Oryzias latipes: one gene and its partners. The protein of the gene in region 2 purifies or fractionates together with the protein of the main gene of each other region. This does not show direct contact. Links are inferred from orthologs where the notes say so. Each region holds a gene or a part of one and is shown on either strand. Other genes may lie near its edges. The genes, in order: tfip11, hdac11, paxbp1 and atg2b.

Region 1 (4,273 bases), on a different chromosome or scaffold from region 2:
CTGTTTGAACACTCTTTCCACCGTTCTGCAACAGACAGAGGACATTATTTCATCTCTGTTTGCTAAAAACGATGCGCTCCATCATCAGTGTTTTCTACGAACCTTTCCCTCATACCATTGAAGCTGTTTCCAATGATTACAAGCTGGTATAATCCCCGTAAGCTCCAGTTTTTCCACAGTAGGTTGTTGTACAGAGCCTTCCCACAGTGCATGAGATAAAAAAGAGTGGGCTTGGTCACCAGACGCTTCCCCTCCTAAATAAAACAGCGGATACTTTAGTCTGTTTAGATCTCAGTTACGGTGATAACATCAGCAGTTTGTTCTCTAGAAGTGCAAAAAGAAAAACAATTGACATGACCTCGTTTTCTGTGAGTACAGTCATTCCCAGCTCCCTCAAGACATCCTGCTCTCCAGAGGAGAATATGGGATCATAAACCAAGCAATCCCTTAAGGAAACCTTTAGGAGAAAAAAAACTAAATGAGCAACTCAAAACAAACATAACACATGTTTGTTAGAACATAGTCTAATGCTCTCTTCTGACCTGTAATACTTCCAGCAGCAGAAGCAGCATGGCAAGCTGATACCGGGCTGCAGTGCAAGAAGAAAAGGAGCCAAGGCCATAACACACACACTCCAGCTGATCACCTGTGTTCTTCAGATGCTCCTCAGTGACGTCCTTCTCTGCAGATGCTGATGCTGTGGATGCCATCAGCAGCTCATCTGAGGACGAGGAACATAAGAGTTACAATTCAATTACACACTAAATAAAAAAAACATGTCTAAAAAATTTGGTTATGTTTTACTTACCTTTCCATTTGTGCCAAAACTCTTCGCATCTCAACTCAGTCCTATGAGACAGAGAGTAAAGAATGAGATATCAGAATTAGTTTTCCCCTCGATAAGGCACAATGAACTATGTTTATGAGTGGTTTTCCGTTTTTTTTATTTTATTTCTTACACAGTGGTCCTGATCCGTCTGACAACTTTCTCGACATCAAGCTGGTCTTCTTGGACGCTGGTGGAACTTAAAGGCACATGAGATTTAAACTTCCTTGTTTGCCCTTTTCGACGCCGAGCGACCTGCCACTCACTTTCAGACATTTTTTTTATCTCATTCCCATCATTCAACGATCTATAATAAAATGTTAGGGGTGAAAAAAAAACAGTGATAATAATTAAAAAACAAACACCCTAATCACCTCCGCCACAAAATCAGCAGCGCGTAGGACGGTTTTAAGTGTAACACATTTGTCTTCCGGTGTAACGCCAAAATAAAAGCTTTTATCACATAATTTATTAACCTAAATGTGTGGTGTTGCTGTTTTAACTTAGAGAAATTTATATAAAAACCAACACAAATCTTTAGTAAATGCAAACAAATAAAAATAAGTAAAATCTCAAAGTTTTAAGGTCACAACATTTATTCGTCAGTACTGACGGACAGACTTTACCCGGAAGTATTTCCACGTTCGTGCGTTGAACGAAAAGCTACACAGATAACCTCTTCTTGCTACAGACAGCCAAGAATGAGTTTTAATTAATCTCTAAGTGTATAAACTATTTCTTGTCAAGTAAGCTTTGTTTGTATTAAGTGCCTTTCTACTTTCCAAGTTCGAAATGTTTCTGCAGTCGTAATGGGATTTAATGTCCCAACTATCGTTAGCTAGATTTCGCTAAAAAATCTCATCATTTGCATTATTAATATCTGAGTTCTGTTAGTTAATACCTTTTTGCTTGAAACTTCTTAATGTATTTTTACGCTTTCAATCATACAAATGTGCAATACAGTTGATATTTATGTTGATAATTGTTTGTGACCGAAACAGTTTTGTGGCTAGCTTCGTGCTTAGCTAGCGTTAGCAATCATTGCTGACTGTGGTTTCATGCTGTTGTACGATTTTTTAAGCAACTTGAATGTTTTTCAATTGTATGGCTTTTATGATTTTTTTTTGTATTGGGTCTCTATCTAGAAATGTCGATGTCCCATCTTTACGGGCGGAGGGAAGAAGAGGAAGAAGGTGTGGAGATCGAAAGCTTCGAGGTGACAGACTGGGATCTGGCCAATGAGTTTAACCCAGAACGCCGCAGGTTTAGGCAGACCAAGGAGCAGGCCACTTATGGGATCTGGGCTGACAAAGATTCAGATGAAGATGAGAGACCCAGCTTTGGTGGCAAGAGGTAATTCACAGGTTTGATGCTCTGATGTCTAAATGTGAAAATTTTTGCAGAGGATGTTAACAGTGTACATTTTCTTTAGGTCGAAAGATTACAGCACCCCAGTGAATTTTGTTAGTGCCGGTCTACGTAAAACTGCAGCCGAGGAGAAACAGCAAGACAAAGAAGAAGGTTCTGATGATTCGGAAGAGGATGCCCCTGCAGTTCCCCCTCCTACTCGTGGAATTGCACCTAGAAAACTTCAGATGGTAAAGTTTCGCTTAAGAACATATTTTATCTAAAAAAGCTTTCTTTTTAAACTGACGTCTATAATTTCTTTGTTTTGTCAGAGTAATTTTCGTGGGAATCAGTCCCAGAGGTTTGCTGGTGGAATACAATCTGGACAGGGTATTGGAACCTGGGAGAAGCACACAAAAGGAATTGGACAGAAGCTTCTGCAGAAAATGGGTTACCAGCCTGGAAAGGGGCTTGGAAAAAATGCTCAAGGTAGGCAGCGTAAAGGAGGAAAAGTACTGTACACGATTGTGCTTTTGCATGCATTTCAGAGGGAAAATAATAGAGATTTTATTGCCATGCCTCTGTTTTGTTTATGTAGGTATTGTAAACCCTATTGAGGCAAAGGTCCGTAAAGGTAAAGGAGCTGTAGGTGCATATGGCAATGAGAGAACCCAGCAGAGTCTGCAGGACTTCCCTGTGGTTGACTCTGAAGAAGAGGAGGAAAAGGTGAGATTTTGCCACGAGCAGTTCTTTACTCCATATAATCTTGTTTTCACAGTGATTGTGTATCTGAAGAATTGAGGGCTAACTGTGAAATTATCTTCTTGTTTTTCTCCTGTAATGTGTGTTGTTGTAGGAGTTTCAAAAAGAATTGGGTCAGTGGCGAAAGGATCCTGCGGGCTCCGCAGTCAAGAAGAAACCAAAATACTCATACAGAACTGCAGATGAGCTGAGGGCTAAAGGCAAAATGGTTTCTCGGAACATGGCAGCATCTGCAGGAGAGTTGGCGCAGGTTAAGGTGCGTTAAAATCCTGCGTTATGTCCTTTTAATTTCGGGTCAGAACAATGAAAAAAACCACAAACTTTAATATTTTAAAGAGCTTCACAAGCATCTACTTGTTTTTTTTTTTTTTTTTACATTTCCTCCTTTCAGCATAAAACTGAAATAAATTGAAAGATTTTTATGGCCATGGAAGTAAAATGATTCAAGTTTTCTTTTTATTAATTGTTTTTATCTCTCTTCAAATTTAGGTTATAGATATGACTGTAAGAGAGCCAAAGGTTTACTACAGTTACAGTCAGATAGCCAACAAACACAGTGTTCCCGATGAAACCCCACCAGCCATGTCCACACGGGATCAGAAGGGTTCCGGCTTCGCTCTCCCTGAGCTTGAGCATAATCTTCAGCTGCTGATCGACCTCACAGAACAGGACATTTTACAGGTCAGAGGAAAATCTGAAATTCTTTCAAATCATTTTCAACTATTAACCCGTTTCAAGTGGGCTTCCAGATTTAATTTTTTTCTTCTGCTCTCTTTATTTATTCTTTTGTAGTCGGCCAGACGTCTACAGCATGAAAAGGACGTGGTCGTTTCTCTGAGTCATGAGTCCCGTGCGTTGCAGAGCAGACTAGAAGCAGAGCAAGATGCCATCCAGAAAATGGAGGCTGTTTTGGCACTGGTGGAGCGTTTTCCCTCTGGAGAGACGCCACCAGGGGAGGGACCGACTCTTCAGGTACGTGGCACATGAAAATACCCAAACTAGATGTACTTATCTTGCAGTTTATTTGTTCCTAATGGTTTTTAATCTCCATTCTTCTAACATTTAATCATTTTGAACATACTTATTTGTTTATTTTCTCACCTCTCTGTGCCCAGGAGTGTGCCCAGATCTTTGAGACTTTACAAACAGATTATTATGAAGAGTATAAAATGATGGGATTGGCAGACCTGGCTGTGGCAGTTGTTCATCCTTTACTTAAGGAGAAACTTCACTCATGGGAGCCTCTAAAGGTTTTTTTTTTTTAATTATTCTAATTAAATTATTACGCTTTTATTTCTGTGGGGGGGAAAACAAACACCTTATTTTCAACATGTTGCT
Region 2 (3,563 bases):
CCATTACGGAGATGACACCAGATCTGTCTTAATGGATACCCCAGCAGTGTGAAACAAGACAACATCAACACTTGAAATAGACATTTTTCTGTAAACATTTAGAGTACCAGCTGCTCCTGGCAATGATAAACATCCCAGTTTTAGGCATTATAAAGGCTTAAAAAGTCGTCAGCAAAGTGACAATCCAAAGAAATAATCTGTGAAAATCCTTTTATTTTCCATCTGTTAGCCTTGCCGCTGTGTTCATAGTGTTCTGCTTCACTTTTTATGCTTATTTGGTTGTAGTCTATTTTCAGACTGTGCACTGCTTTCTTAAACATAATTGCGGAGGGACGCTTCCATCCCTGACTGAGACAAAACACTTCTCTGCTTATTTTCATGACTGATTACATTCACTTTACAGCTGCCCATTCAGACATGTGAACAGACATGAGTTTACCACAGTTTCTGTCTGAAAGAGCACCACACCCTCTGTGTACCACACACTCTTTACACACCCTTTGTGTCCAGAATGACACAGAGGTTGTGAGAATCACCTTGATGGCCAGAGTGATGTCCGCATAGGCGCAAAAGCCTCCACCCTTGTTACTGGAGCAGTGATGGAAGCCCCCACCTGAAAGACAGCAGAGGAAAGTGTTGAGGTAACAAGGTCCAGGTTCATGAAGAACAGCTCAAGCTACGTTCGCACCGCCCTAAGCAACGTGTATTCAAGCACTTCCGGTGTAGAGTCTATGTAAACACGTGTAACTGCGTGTTTCAGGTTTCCGTGTTTAAAACTCTCGCCTTCAAGTTACTACGACTGTTTTCAAGCTCTATGTAGAGAACGTGCGGCTACTGAACACGCGTTGAAAGTTAAATCAGGGTGAACTTTGACCAATCAGACTCGTATTTTTGCGTATGGATGGCGTCCCTTTTAATTCATGAAAATGCTAACCATTTGAAAATTGATCATGGAGGAGAAATGAATAATTGTGGTTTGTGCCTGGCCAGAATTCAATGACACCAAGTCTTTCATATAACGAAATCGAGCTGTGAAAAAGAAGCCTGGAGTAAGATTTGTAAGATTTACACCGCTTTGGCATTTTGCACCACGTCTCTTCTAACTGTAGGTGGTGGACATGTGCTACTAAACAGTAGAAAAACAAAAAGAGGAAAAAAACCCTCCCTGCTTGTCCAGTTTGAACACCATGGCCTAATTGCACATTCAAGAATGCGCGTTTAGCATGTTCTTGAGCACATGTGGCACGTGTCTCCAAAGCTTCACAAGGAGAAATTCACTCCTCATAGCAGTTCAGAGAGAAAAAAACAAATGATGATGATTGTGGAGGTGAGGTTGCATTCATACAGAGCCGACACGCTAAATCAAGAAGCACTTTAACTTTTGAACCTAATTATGTTTGAAAGAACAAAGTTAACCCGGCTGGTGCTTCTGCTTCACCGTGGACTTACTCACCAACGTTGATGGCCCATCCTCGGTCAACAGCCAGTTTTCCAGCCTGTAGAAGACAATGTTTTACTTCAGCTCCTTTAAAAGAATCCCATTAAAGATCAGACTTGGTCATTTTTACTATGAAATAAACCAATAAATCATTTCAAACATAACACATTTCTAAAACTTCAACCTTTCTATGGTTTTAACTTCTCCTGTTTGTCCCTGATCTCCTAAAGTTTTAACGGCGGCGATTAGCTGTAGTCAAAGGATGTAAAATGACAGAAAAAATAAGAAAAAAACAGATGTCATCAAACAGATAGGATGAAAGATAAACAAAAGCTTGCACATCTGTTCTTTAAGAAGGATTATAGACTGACACAGAGTATTTGCTAAACTTATTAGGCAGAAATCACTCTTTTACGGTGGATGGAAGACCTTTTACCTAGAACACAACCAACAAATCATCTTCTTTCTCTTTCGGCTTTTCCCATCAGGGGTCGCCACAGCGAATCATCCTTTTCCACCTCACTCTATCATGGACATCTTCTACCCTAACATTAGCCAACTTCATGTCCTCTGTTAAGACATCCATGTATCTCCTCTTTGGCCGTCCTCTTGCCCTCCTGCCAGGCAGCTCCATCTCCAACATCCTTCTACCAATATATCCACTATCCCTCCTCTGAACATGTCCAAACCATCTCAGTCTGGCTTCTCTGACTTTGTCGCTGACACAGGCAACATGAGCCGTCCCTCTGATGTACTCGTTCCTTATCCTGTCTAACCTGGTCACTCCTAAGGAGAACCTCAACATCTTCATCTCCGCTACCTCCATCTCAGCCTCTTGTCTCTGTCTCACTGCTACCGTCTCTAACCCATAGAGCAGAGCTGGTCTCACCACTGTCTTGTACACCTTTCCTTTGAGTCTTGCTGACACTCTTCTGTCACACAACACTCCTGACACTTTCCTCCACCCGCTCCAACCTGCCTGCACTCGCCTCTTCACCTCTTTTCCACAATCCCCATCACACTGAACTGTTGACCCCAAGTACTTAAACTCCTGCACCTTCTTCACCTCAGTCCCCTGTAACCTAACGCTTCTACCTTGATCCCTCTCGTTCAGACACATGTATTCTGTCTTACTACGACTGACCTTCATGCCTCTTCTTTCCAGAGCAAACCTCCACCTCTCTAGCTGTTCCTCCACCTGCTCTCTACTCTCACTGCAAATTACAATGTCATCCGCAAACATCATTGTCCAGGGAGATTCCTGTCTTACCTCGTCTGTCAGCCTGTCCATCAGCATAGCAAACAAAAAAGGACTCAAAGCTGATCCTTGGTGTAGTCCCACCTCCACCTTGAACTCCTCTGTCTGACCTACAGCACATCTCACCACCGTCATACTTCTCTCATACATGTCCTGAACTACTCTGACATACTTCTCTGCCACTCCAGACGACCTCATACAGTACCACAGCTCCTCCCTCGGCACCCTGTCATACGCCTTCTCTAAATCTACGAACACACAATGCAGCTCCTTCTGACCTTCTCTGTACTTTTCCATCAACATTCTCAAAGCAAAAATGGCATCAGTGGTGCTCTTACGGGGCATGAAACCAACAACCATGAAACCAACAACCAACAAATCATAATTCAATTTGTTATTTATTGACATCAAATCTTGTGCATGTAATCATCCATATTTGTGTCGTTTATAGAGGTGAGTTCTGAAGAAGGGTTTAGAGTTCATGACCTAGAAGCACAGAGGATCTTCTGAGGATGACGGTGAGTGGATGATGGACAAAGACTCTCAAAGAAAGAACGCGGGGGTGGAGTTACCATGATGGTTCCTCCTGTTTGCGTCCGTAAAGGCCTCAGCACCTTTCGCTGCACCAGGAAATTCGGCAGAAACAAGAGCGGAGGGATTTCTGTGATGGTTGCCACGACGACCGACCACTGCCGCCAAACAAAGCAGAAGCACAGTACACATGATACTTCATAACAAAACCTTAGACTTTTTAATTTTGAAATGTCATCTTAAGACATTTATGTAACAGTTTTAGGTACATGTTTTATAATACATTTAAAACTTTTGGTCATGATGGAGCCAGTCATTTCCCAACATGCATTTCAG
Region 3 (4,087 bases), on a different chromosome or scaffold from region 2:
TTCACACAATAATAATTTCCTGTAGCTCCTCACTTCACCACCTTTGCTCAGACATTTTCCAACTTCTTAGCGATTCCTGCTTCAGTTTTCTGCTATGTGGTTTGGGTGGCAGTTCCATCACCGACTGTCTTTAGTTCACTCTGAAGTGAGCAGAGACCCAGATCTGAACTAGTTCTGAGGGGAACTTGCACACAGACTCTTAAAGCAAAACAAACCCTAGTGCAGGTCAAACCTGACAGACAAGAGATGTGTTTCACTTACGTTTTATTCTAAAGAAAAAAACAACAACTAACAAATAAAAAGCATAATAAAAAAAGCACAGTTTTTGTAAATATGTAGTGCTGCTTACCTGAGGTATACTAATTCCTTTTCTGATCTGCTCCTGCTCCCATCGGCTCACCTCCTCATCCTGACCTGCTGCATCCAGAGCTTCATCATCACTTCCCTCAATACCTGTAAAAGCACACACACGTTTAAAACTAAATCAGTGTAAGTGAGCAATCAAGACGAAAGCGCAATACCTATTTCTTCAGCTATCTTCTGCCTCTGGGTTTTGTTCTTGACTCCACTGAAACGGATCCTCTTCTCATCCTCGTCATCATCACTAGCATCCTGGTCTTCTTGATCCAAACGCTTCTGGGGCGTGTCCATCTGTACCAGAGGAGCTTCGCCCCCCAGTTCTCTTGCCAGCTGCCGGCGTTTCCTGGCAGCATGGATGAAAGCCGCATCTGGGATCTCGCCTGCAGGACAGACACCGTCTTTAGCTAAATATTTGTGCAGTTTTTGGGCAGAAACATTTCAGAAACAGAGGTTTAGATATGTGGTACGCTGTTTCTGTTGCAGTCATCTGAATATTTATGTGTACAGACATCACAAAAACAGGACAATTCTTCTTCTTCTTAGTGGGTTTTTACCACAATCCTTCCCCAAATGTTTCACTGTTGAATATTCCTACCTGGTTTCAAACTGCTGAGGGAGGAAAGCGTGTTAAACGTCCCTCCTGGATTGATGCTTTTGGGTATTTGACCACGTGTTGGAACACCCTGACTCCGCGCCTCTTCGTCCTGTTCATCGCTGTCGACCTCCATTTCTTCCTCTCCATGTTCACTGTTTTCCCTGCTGATAACTTCCTCTTTAATCGCAAACATAGGCTTAGATGGAGCACCTGAAAGAAAAATACATGTTTAGTTTATTTCAAGCATTGCTTAACACCACAAACAGATGACTCCCTGGAATAACATTTTCTTATATAAAAGTTTATTTTTAACCCAATTAAAGTCATACTTATGAAGTTGATACAATAATGTGGTAATATATTGTGTTGCTCATTATCAATAAAAGTTGTTTATTTTTGTATTGCTAAATTTATCACTGCGTTTAATATTATAATAATTGAAATAATTGTTTCATACATCATCAGAAAAATGACAAAAGAACATATTAAAAACACAATTTTCATCTTTAAACCGGTCCTAGTGTTGGTGACCAATGCAGCAACAACAGGCTTTACCTTACACTGCCTCCTGCTGGACACATACAGTACTGTTCCAATAGCAAACCAAGTAAAATCGATTTTAAACATCAACACCTGCATATCATTATTCTGTTTAAAACATTTTTGGAAATTACTGACAGCAACAATTATTTTTTGCAGGATCAAGTGCGAATTTGCCGGAAAGTTGAACAATGCAGTCCAGCAAAAACAAATTTTAACCTAATTATGCACGGCATTCAGTCTTCTTCCTCTTTCGGCTTCTCCCATCAGGGGTCGCCACAGCGAACAAGTCGCATGGTAAACTTGGCAATGTTTTACGCCGGATGCCCTTCCTGACGCAACCCTCTCAAACCGGGCTTGGAACCGGCACAGGGGTAGAGAAGGGAACAGGGAGCAGCCCGGAGTCGAACCCTGGTTTCACGGACGGAAGGCGCCGCAAACCAGCACGAGCTATGCACGGCATTCAGTCCAAATTGGAAATGTAAAATAGTTATACCTGTTTAAAACGAAGTATATAACAAATGCTATATTACATCTCAATTTACTATGTTGTGACAGATGAACACACGCAAGAAAAAATAAAAAGGAAAGGCAAAGTAAAAATGACATAAAACAACATTTTGATAGATGGGTACCTGTTTTGCTTTCCTGTTTCCCACTTCCACCTTTTTCCAGATCTTCTTTGTATTCTTTTTTCAGCTGTTTGACAATCTTCTTGCTGTGGTTTGGTTTCTTCACCCTGAACACCTCGGTAGCTTCTGTTGGAGTGACAAAGAAAATCTCAACCTAAGATAATGTCATGATTTTTACCAAACATAAAAACCACAAAAAAGTGCTTGGATATCGCTAAAATGAACAAACTTCCAATGTTTATGACGTAAAGAGAAGCTATCATAGCAGTCTTTGCTAGTAGTTACCTTCCTCCTCGTCGAAACTCAGCAGACTGACTTTAGCCGGTAGAGGCTGAACGGGCGTTTCTTTGCATTTCTTTTCCTTTTTGACACCTTTCGCGTTGTTAATGTTGGCCAAAAAGCCATTGCTGTGAACGTTGTCGGTGCCGCTCAGCGCTCCGGAACCGCCGCTGCTCTTTTCCATAAACGGGATTTCCACAGCAGGCCCAAACGACATGGGCACGAGCGCCTGTGGCTGGCTCTGCTCCTGCTCGTCCTCCTCGGAGTCGTTCCTCCTTCGAAAATTGGCTCTTTTCGCCCTTTTAAACATTGTGTCTAGTAGTCAAATCCAGCGCATACTCGGAAGGACTAAAACACCAACTTGCGCTCAGAATCGTCGAACACATAAGCCGCAAAGCAAGTCCGCCATTTTCTGTCGGAGACTTTCTTCTTCTCTTTCAGCTGAGAATTTTCTTCAAATTCTGCTCTTCTGCCCCCAATGGTCAAAATAGGGAAAGCAACATTTGGAATGGACCATTAGACCAGGAGCCTTATTTATAAACGTTGCGTACGCACAAAAGAAGGCGGACTTTTTTTCCTACCAAAAAAAAAAATCAGTTTCAAATTATTCAGCGCTCTTGGGAGCTACGTGATATTTGGACAAGATTAGGGTGTTTTCTTACTAGATTACTTACAAATATACGTTTGTCTAAAAAAAATTAATGTACTCAGCTCTCCACAGTGACATCTGTATCTAACGCTCTTTGTCTTTTTTTTATTAAGACTTTTAAGTCGTAAATTTACTAGGAAAAAACTCGTAAATTTACAACTTTTATCTCGAGAATTTACGATTTAAAATCTCGTACATTTACAAGAAAAAAGTCATCGATTATGTGGAGACTTTTCTGAAGTTTTTTTCCGGATAGGTTTAAAAAAACAATGAGATTCTGAACTTTTTGGCGACTCAAAATCAGATAATTTTCAGAGTAAACCGGTTTTCCGGGGTTCGGTGTCAGTAAAGCGGAGTTTCATATATATAATAAGGAGCTCAGAGACACATTTGGGTGTAGAGGACCGCTGCAGCCTTTATTTTCCTTTTCATTCACATATCCTGAAGTTCATCAGTCACCTTACGACATGAACCTGTCATCCGAACACCAATGCAGAAGTAAACAGTTTTACATACGCCCCCTCCTCCAGATGAAACGTCCCGTTATAACATATAACAATAAAGAGGAATGAAAATAGTCTGTTATATTAGCATTAGAACGTTGAAAATGCCAGAAAGTGCTCCTCCTCAGACAGAAGTGTCACACAAACGTAGAGATCTGATGATCTTTAATGGAGGAAGAAAGGATTCAGGTGGACAGCTGCAGGGACACTGTTGAACCTACGCGATAACTTCTCTTTTTTTCTTTCTGACCGTGGTCGGAAACGCAGGGGAGATTTTCTCCAGGGCCGAAGCGAAGGCGGATCCTCGTTTGGGATTCACTTTCCCGTTCGGATCCTCAGCCTCCAGAGCGAGTTAATAAGACAAAATACTTCTTCTGGGGAGGGACACCATCTTTTTATTAAGGTTTTCAGTCCTCGATCACACAATATAGACGCAAACTCTCCCGCTCCGCGCTCTCACCCCCCTCTTTCGCCCGTGCTCTCACACATGCACGCGGGGTCTCCAACACACGCACACACGCACCCACGC
Region 4 (3,563 bases), on a different chromosome or scaffold from region 2:
AAAGAAAAAAAACAAGTAGCTGCCTCACCATCAGGACCAGCAGAGCGAAACTGGCTAAAGCTGTCTTTGGAGTACGTATTGATCAGCTGACTGGCAACAGACAGTCCAACTCCATAGGGCATGTTCTCCACAGTTTCCACGGGGGACGGAGCAGTGGGCTCCCACAGCAACAGGTCGTTGTTTATCCTACAATATGAACAATTTCCCTTTTAACAGGATTTAGGCTACAAGTCTTCAAAAAGTAAACAAGATTTGAAAAAAAAGTAATCAAATTTAACAGCAGCAGGGATTTGGCGACTTCATAAAAGTGAGTGATACTTGATCAACTCTGATAATGCTTTTTTTTTTTTTTTTTTAAGAGAAAATGATTATTTTGCACCTGTTGTGTAGCTTTTCGTAGAATGCCTTGCTTGGGAGCACTAATTGCACATTTGGGAAACTCAACTCGAGGACAAAACGCGAGTTGTTCATGGTTTTTTCCTGGAACTCTGTCATTTCCACAACATCACCGGGAATGACCATCTGAGATTAGAAAAGGGGAAAAAATGAAATCATCAGACCACATCAGCATGTTTTGTCAACAGTTCAGGTATTCAAAGCACGGAACTATTTGCCTGAGAAACCATCAGTAATGAGGGACGATCCGTCCAGCAGGTTATACTGAATGCAAATGTTTTCACTTAGACAAAGTGCACCTGCTTTGCAACAAACACAATGGTCCTGATGGTCAGACGGATTTTACTGTTAAACAAATGCGAAGAGGTGATGTCATTGAGGCGGCGTGCGTCACCACGTGTAGCTACAGCTATACCAGTCAGAACAATTTAGGATCCACAATAAAGATGAAGGTAATCATAAAAAATATCGACATGTTTATATTTACAAATATTCACAATTACAGCCTATTTCCTGTTAACTTTTTAGAATCCTTTATTCACCTTTTATGTTATGCGCATGTTTAACATAGAATCAGCTGGAGCTGTATATTTTAAGTAAATTGGAGACTGATATAAGCTGGAATTCTAATATGTTGCCCAATTTAACCATGACTGTGCTTTAGAGAAGTGTTATTTAACCTTTTTTAAGCAAAATGTCACTTTTCCACTTTGCCCAATAATGCTTCTTTTGGTGATTTGTGATGAGGGGCTACCTTTTCCGACTGGGGGTCAAAGGATTCATGTTTTTTCTTTACTAGCACGACATCTGACTCTGCTTAAATGGATGGACATTGAACCACAAACTGCATCACACTGGGTTAAAGATGTTTTGTTTCACCTTATCTTGAGAAAATAAGGGGTTCAGAACACAAACTATATAGTGAGGAAACCCTTCTTGACCTTTTTCAATAATCCATCTTTACTTTTAATATACATTTATTTGTTTGCATATCTGGCTGTTATTTGCTTTTATTATACTCTCTGAACTGACTCTTAAATATTGTTTATGTGTTAGGGTTTTTGTGTGTTTACATATATATAGTTATGTGTGTTTGCATACATATTCTATTAATATACTGTAACTGCATTGTGTTTTATGACTGACAGTGGGGGAGGGGGCTTGTCTGAATTTGTGTCGAAATTTGTTAAAACTTAATAAATATATTTAAACATCAAAAAGTTCCCTTTTCCTGTGAATGCAAATCACAAGGAAGTCACACCACCAACTGGAAATCCTAAAAAATAAAATTCTGTTTGAACAGTGGACAGACTACCAGAGAGAAAAAAATTGTCCAGTTAAAAAAACTTTTTTAGATCCACCTAAAACTACAACTTTCAGGGACTCATCATCACTAAAAAGACCCAAATGTCCTTTATAAATACAAAAAGGAGTTAATTCAATAGTATGCAGTGGTTGGCAGATATTCAGGTTAAAAAAAGTCCTCTATGAACGACAAATTTGCATAACTGTAGTCAAAAATAAGTCATTAATAAGCAAAGAAAGTGATCATTTCTTCTGTAAAGGATAATTCATTGATTTTGCTTAAACGGTTTGTATTTGTCCCTTTTGACTATTTAGTATTGATCACTTACACAAATCAAAATAACTCTACTTGCAAGCCAGCGGCTTAAAAATGTTGCAATGTTTTATTACATTCTTTTGGTTTATTTCATTTTGAGAAAAAAAGGGCAAAAGAATCAATTCAAAGGTTTCAAATAGCAGTTTTAGTTTTTAGATGATCATTTTCAGTTATAACTAAACTCGGGTTTATTATAAGTGTGGACAGAAATGAAGAGCTCTGTACATTTTTCTCATGTCTAAATAAAACACATAAAACCCTTTAACAGAACGAAATGTGGAGATACTTGAAAAGGAATATGAATTACCTCTTCATTCTCATACATAACCCTTCGGGAAGAAAAGGGTGAGGGTTCCGGCTTCCCAAAGTCACACACGTCTTTTAGTGAATGGGCAGCCCCTTCCTCCTCTTCTTCCTCAAGCGAGTGGTCCTCAGCGCCCTCGTCATCCTCAGCCGTCACACGCTCGAGGATTGAATGGACTGCAGTGGGGTTCATCTTCAACACCACTCTGCACAAAGAGTTGAAGGACTGAAGACGCTGCTGAACGGACACATAGGTTTGAGTTGTGTACACTTACCTTGGCCAGTCGAACTTCCCACTTTCAGATGTTGTCATGTCTCCGTCCATAGTGTTGGATACTCGGAGAAAACAGGAAGCAGGTTCCTCTGGGTCCTCCTGGAACTTGCCTACATACAAAGAAATGATAAAGTTCATTTATCAGCAGCCTTCAAATAAAAAGTTACAACTCAGAGTGCAGATGTGGAGGGGATATACCTTTAAGTTCTTTGAACGTGAGCTCCATTTTGGTTTGATCTGGTGAGTTACCACCCATGAACTCTATTTTAACCTCCAGGTCCTCCAGGTCCAGATAAAGTACTTCCTTCTGCAGGGACTTTTTGAACCAGGGCCCTCTTTCCTGATCTGAACGCAGATCAGGGATGGGAAAGCGCACTGCAAGGCCAAGCACTGGGGCATTTACCGTCAGTGACACGTGACAGCTGGAGGGTGTATGGGTGTCATCAAGGAAAACCTCAGTGAAGGCTTTGTGCTGCAAAAGGTTTTAAAAAAAAAAAAAAAGAGTTTTTTTTTTTGTATATTGAACTATTTAACATGGGATACAGCTGAAAGAATCATTTTATTAGTTTAAGGTCATTTAAGGTCATTGCAGGACAAGCTTGTATTTCCATTTTAAATTATCAATGGTCAGACAAAATTTAGATGACAAATATATGTCTTATGCAGACTTATATGGATAATGCACTAAACAATTGATTAAAACAGTAAGACTGACCCCATTGAACCAAAACAATCACAAATAAAGGTTAGTCTAGCAAGCTAGAACTAACAATCTGCTTTGTGCACAAGCCCTATGAACCACTTTAAGCCCTGAGACGATCAGAGACAGATTTTCTGTAAATTTTCCAGATTAAAGACTAAACACTGTGAAGCGGTGTTTCAGATTTCTGCTGCTAAAACCTGGAAGAGTCCCTCTGAGGATGCTGAACAACCTTTTATTCCTGTGCAGGATACAAATTATAGTTTTTA

What was found.
Region 1: the proteins of hdac11 (region 2) and tfip11 purify together in Homo sapiens (co-immunoprecipitation; 3 studies listed by BioGRID and IntAct, counting the BioPlex papers as one, with this or other methods). This does not show direct contact. The link is inferred for Oryzias latipes from reciprocal best matches to the Homo sapiens genes HDAC11 and TFIP11.
Region 3: the proteins of hdac11 (region 2) and paxbp1 purify together in Homo sapiens (co-immunoprecipitation; 3 studies listed by BioGRID and IntAct, counting the BioPlex papers as one, with this or other methods). This does not show direct contact. The link is inferred for Oryzias latipes from reciprocal best matches to the Homo sapiens genes HDAC11 and PAXBP1.
Region 4: the proteins of hdac11 (region 2) and atg2b purify together in Homo sapiens (co-immunoprecipitation; 3 studies listed by BioGRID and IntAct, counting the BioPlex papers as one, with this or other methods). This does not show direct contact. The link is inferred for Oryzias latipes from reciprocal best matches to the Homo sapiens genes HDAC11 and ATG2B.

The regions. Positions count from the first base shown.
Region 1 is NC_019867.2:13,548,584-13,552,856, forward strand, and holds the start of tfip11 (tuftelin-interacting protein 11), read left to right. Parts: upstream 1-1,443; 5' UTR 1,444-1,572; intron 1,573-1,971; 5' UTR 1,972-1,973; coding exon 1,974-2,179; intron 2,180-2,258; coding exon 2,259-2,424; intron 2,425-2,505; coding exon 2,506-2,662; intron 2,663-2,771; coding exon 2,772-2,899; intron 2,900-3,029; coding exon 3,030-3,191; intron 3,192-3,424; coding exon 3,425-3,616; intron 3,617-3,727; coding exon 3,728-3,907; intron 3,908-4,050; coding exon 4,051-4,185; intron 4,186-4,273. Other genes in the region: srrd (SRR1-like protein), read right to left, coding at 1-25, 103-254, 359-457, 543-721, 809-849, 960-1,102. UniProt on the Homo sapiens protein: Involved in pre-mRNA splicing, specifically in spliceosome disassembly during late-stage splicing events. Intron turnover seems to proceed through reactions in two lariat-intron associated complexes termed Intron Large (IL) and Intron Small (IS).
Region 2 is NC_019863.2:24,898,256-24,901,818, reverse strand, and holds part of hdac11 (histone deacetylase 11), read right to left. Parts: intron 3,386-3,563; coding exon 3,269-3,385; intron 1,497-3,268; coding exon 1,454-1,496; intron 614-1,453; coding exon 537-613; intron 1-536. UniProt on the Homo sapiens protein: Responsible for the deacetylation of lysine residues on the N-terminal part of the core histones (H2A, H2B, H3 and H4).
Region 3 is NC_019872.2:11,588,807-11,592,893, forward strand, and holds the start of paxbp1 (PAX3- and PAX7-binding protein 1), read right to left. Parts: upstream 2,842-4,087; 5' UTR 2,717-2,841; coding exon 2,413-2,716; intron 2,254-2,412; coding exon 2,131-2,253; intron 1,166-2,130; coding exon 956-1,165; intron 741-955; coding exon 522-740; intron 454-521; coding exon 350-453; intron 1-349. UniProt on the Homo sapiens protein: Adapter protein linking the transcription factors PAX3 and PAX7 to the histone methylation machinery and involved in myogenesis.
Region 4 is NC_019880.2:13,120,824-13,124,386, forward strand, and holds part of atg2b (autophagy-related protein 2 homolog B), read right to left. Parts: intron 3,067-3,563; coding exon 2,793-3,066; intron 2,705-2,792; coding exon 2,596-2,704; intron 2,527-2,595; coding exon 2,325-2,526; intron 523-2,324; coding exon 380-522; intron 187-379; coding exon 29-186; intron 1-28. UniProt on the Homo sapiens protein: Lipid transfer protein required for both autophagosome formation and regulation of lipid droplet morphology and dispersion.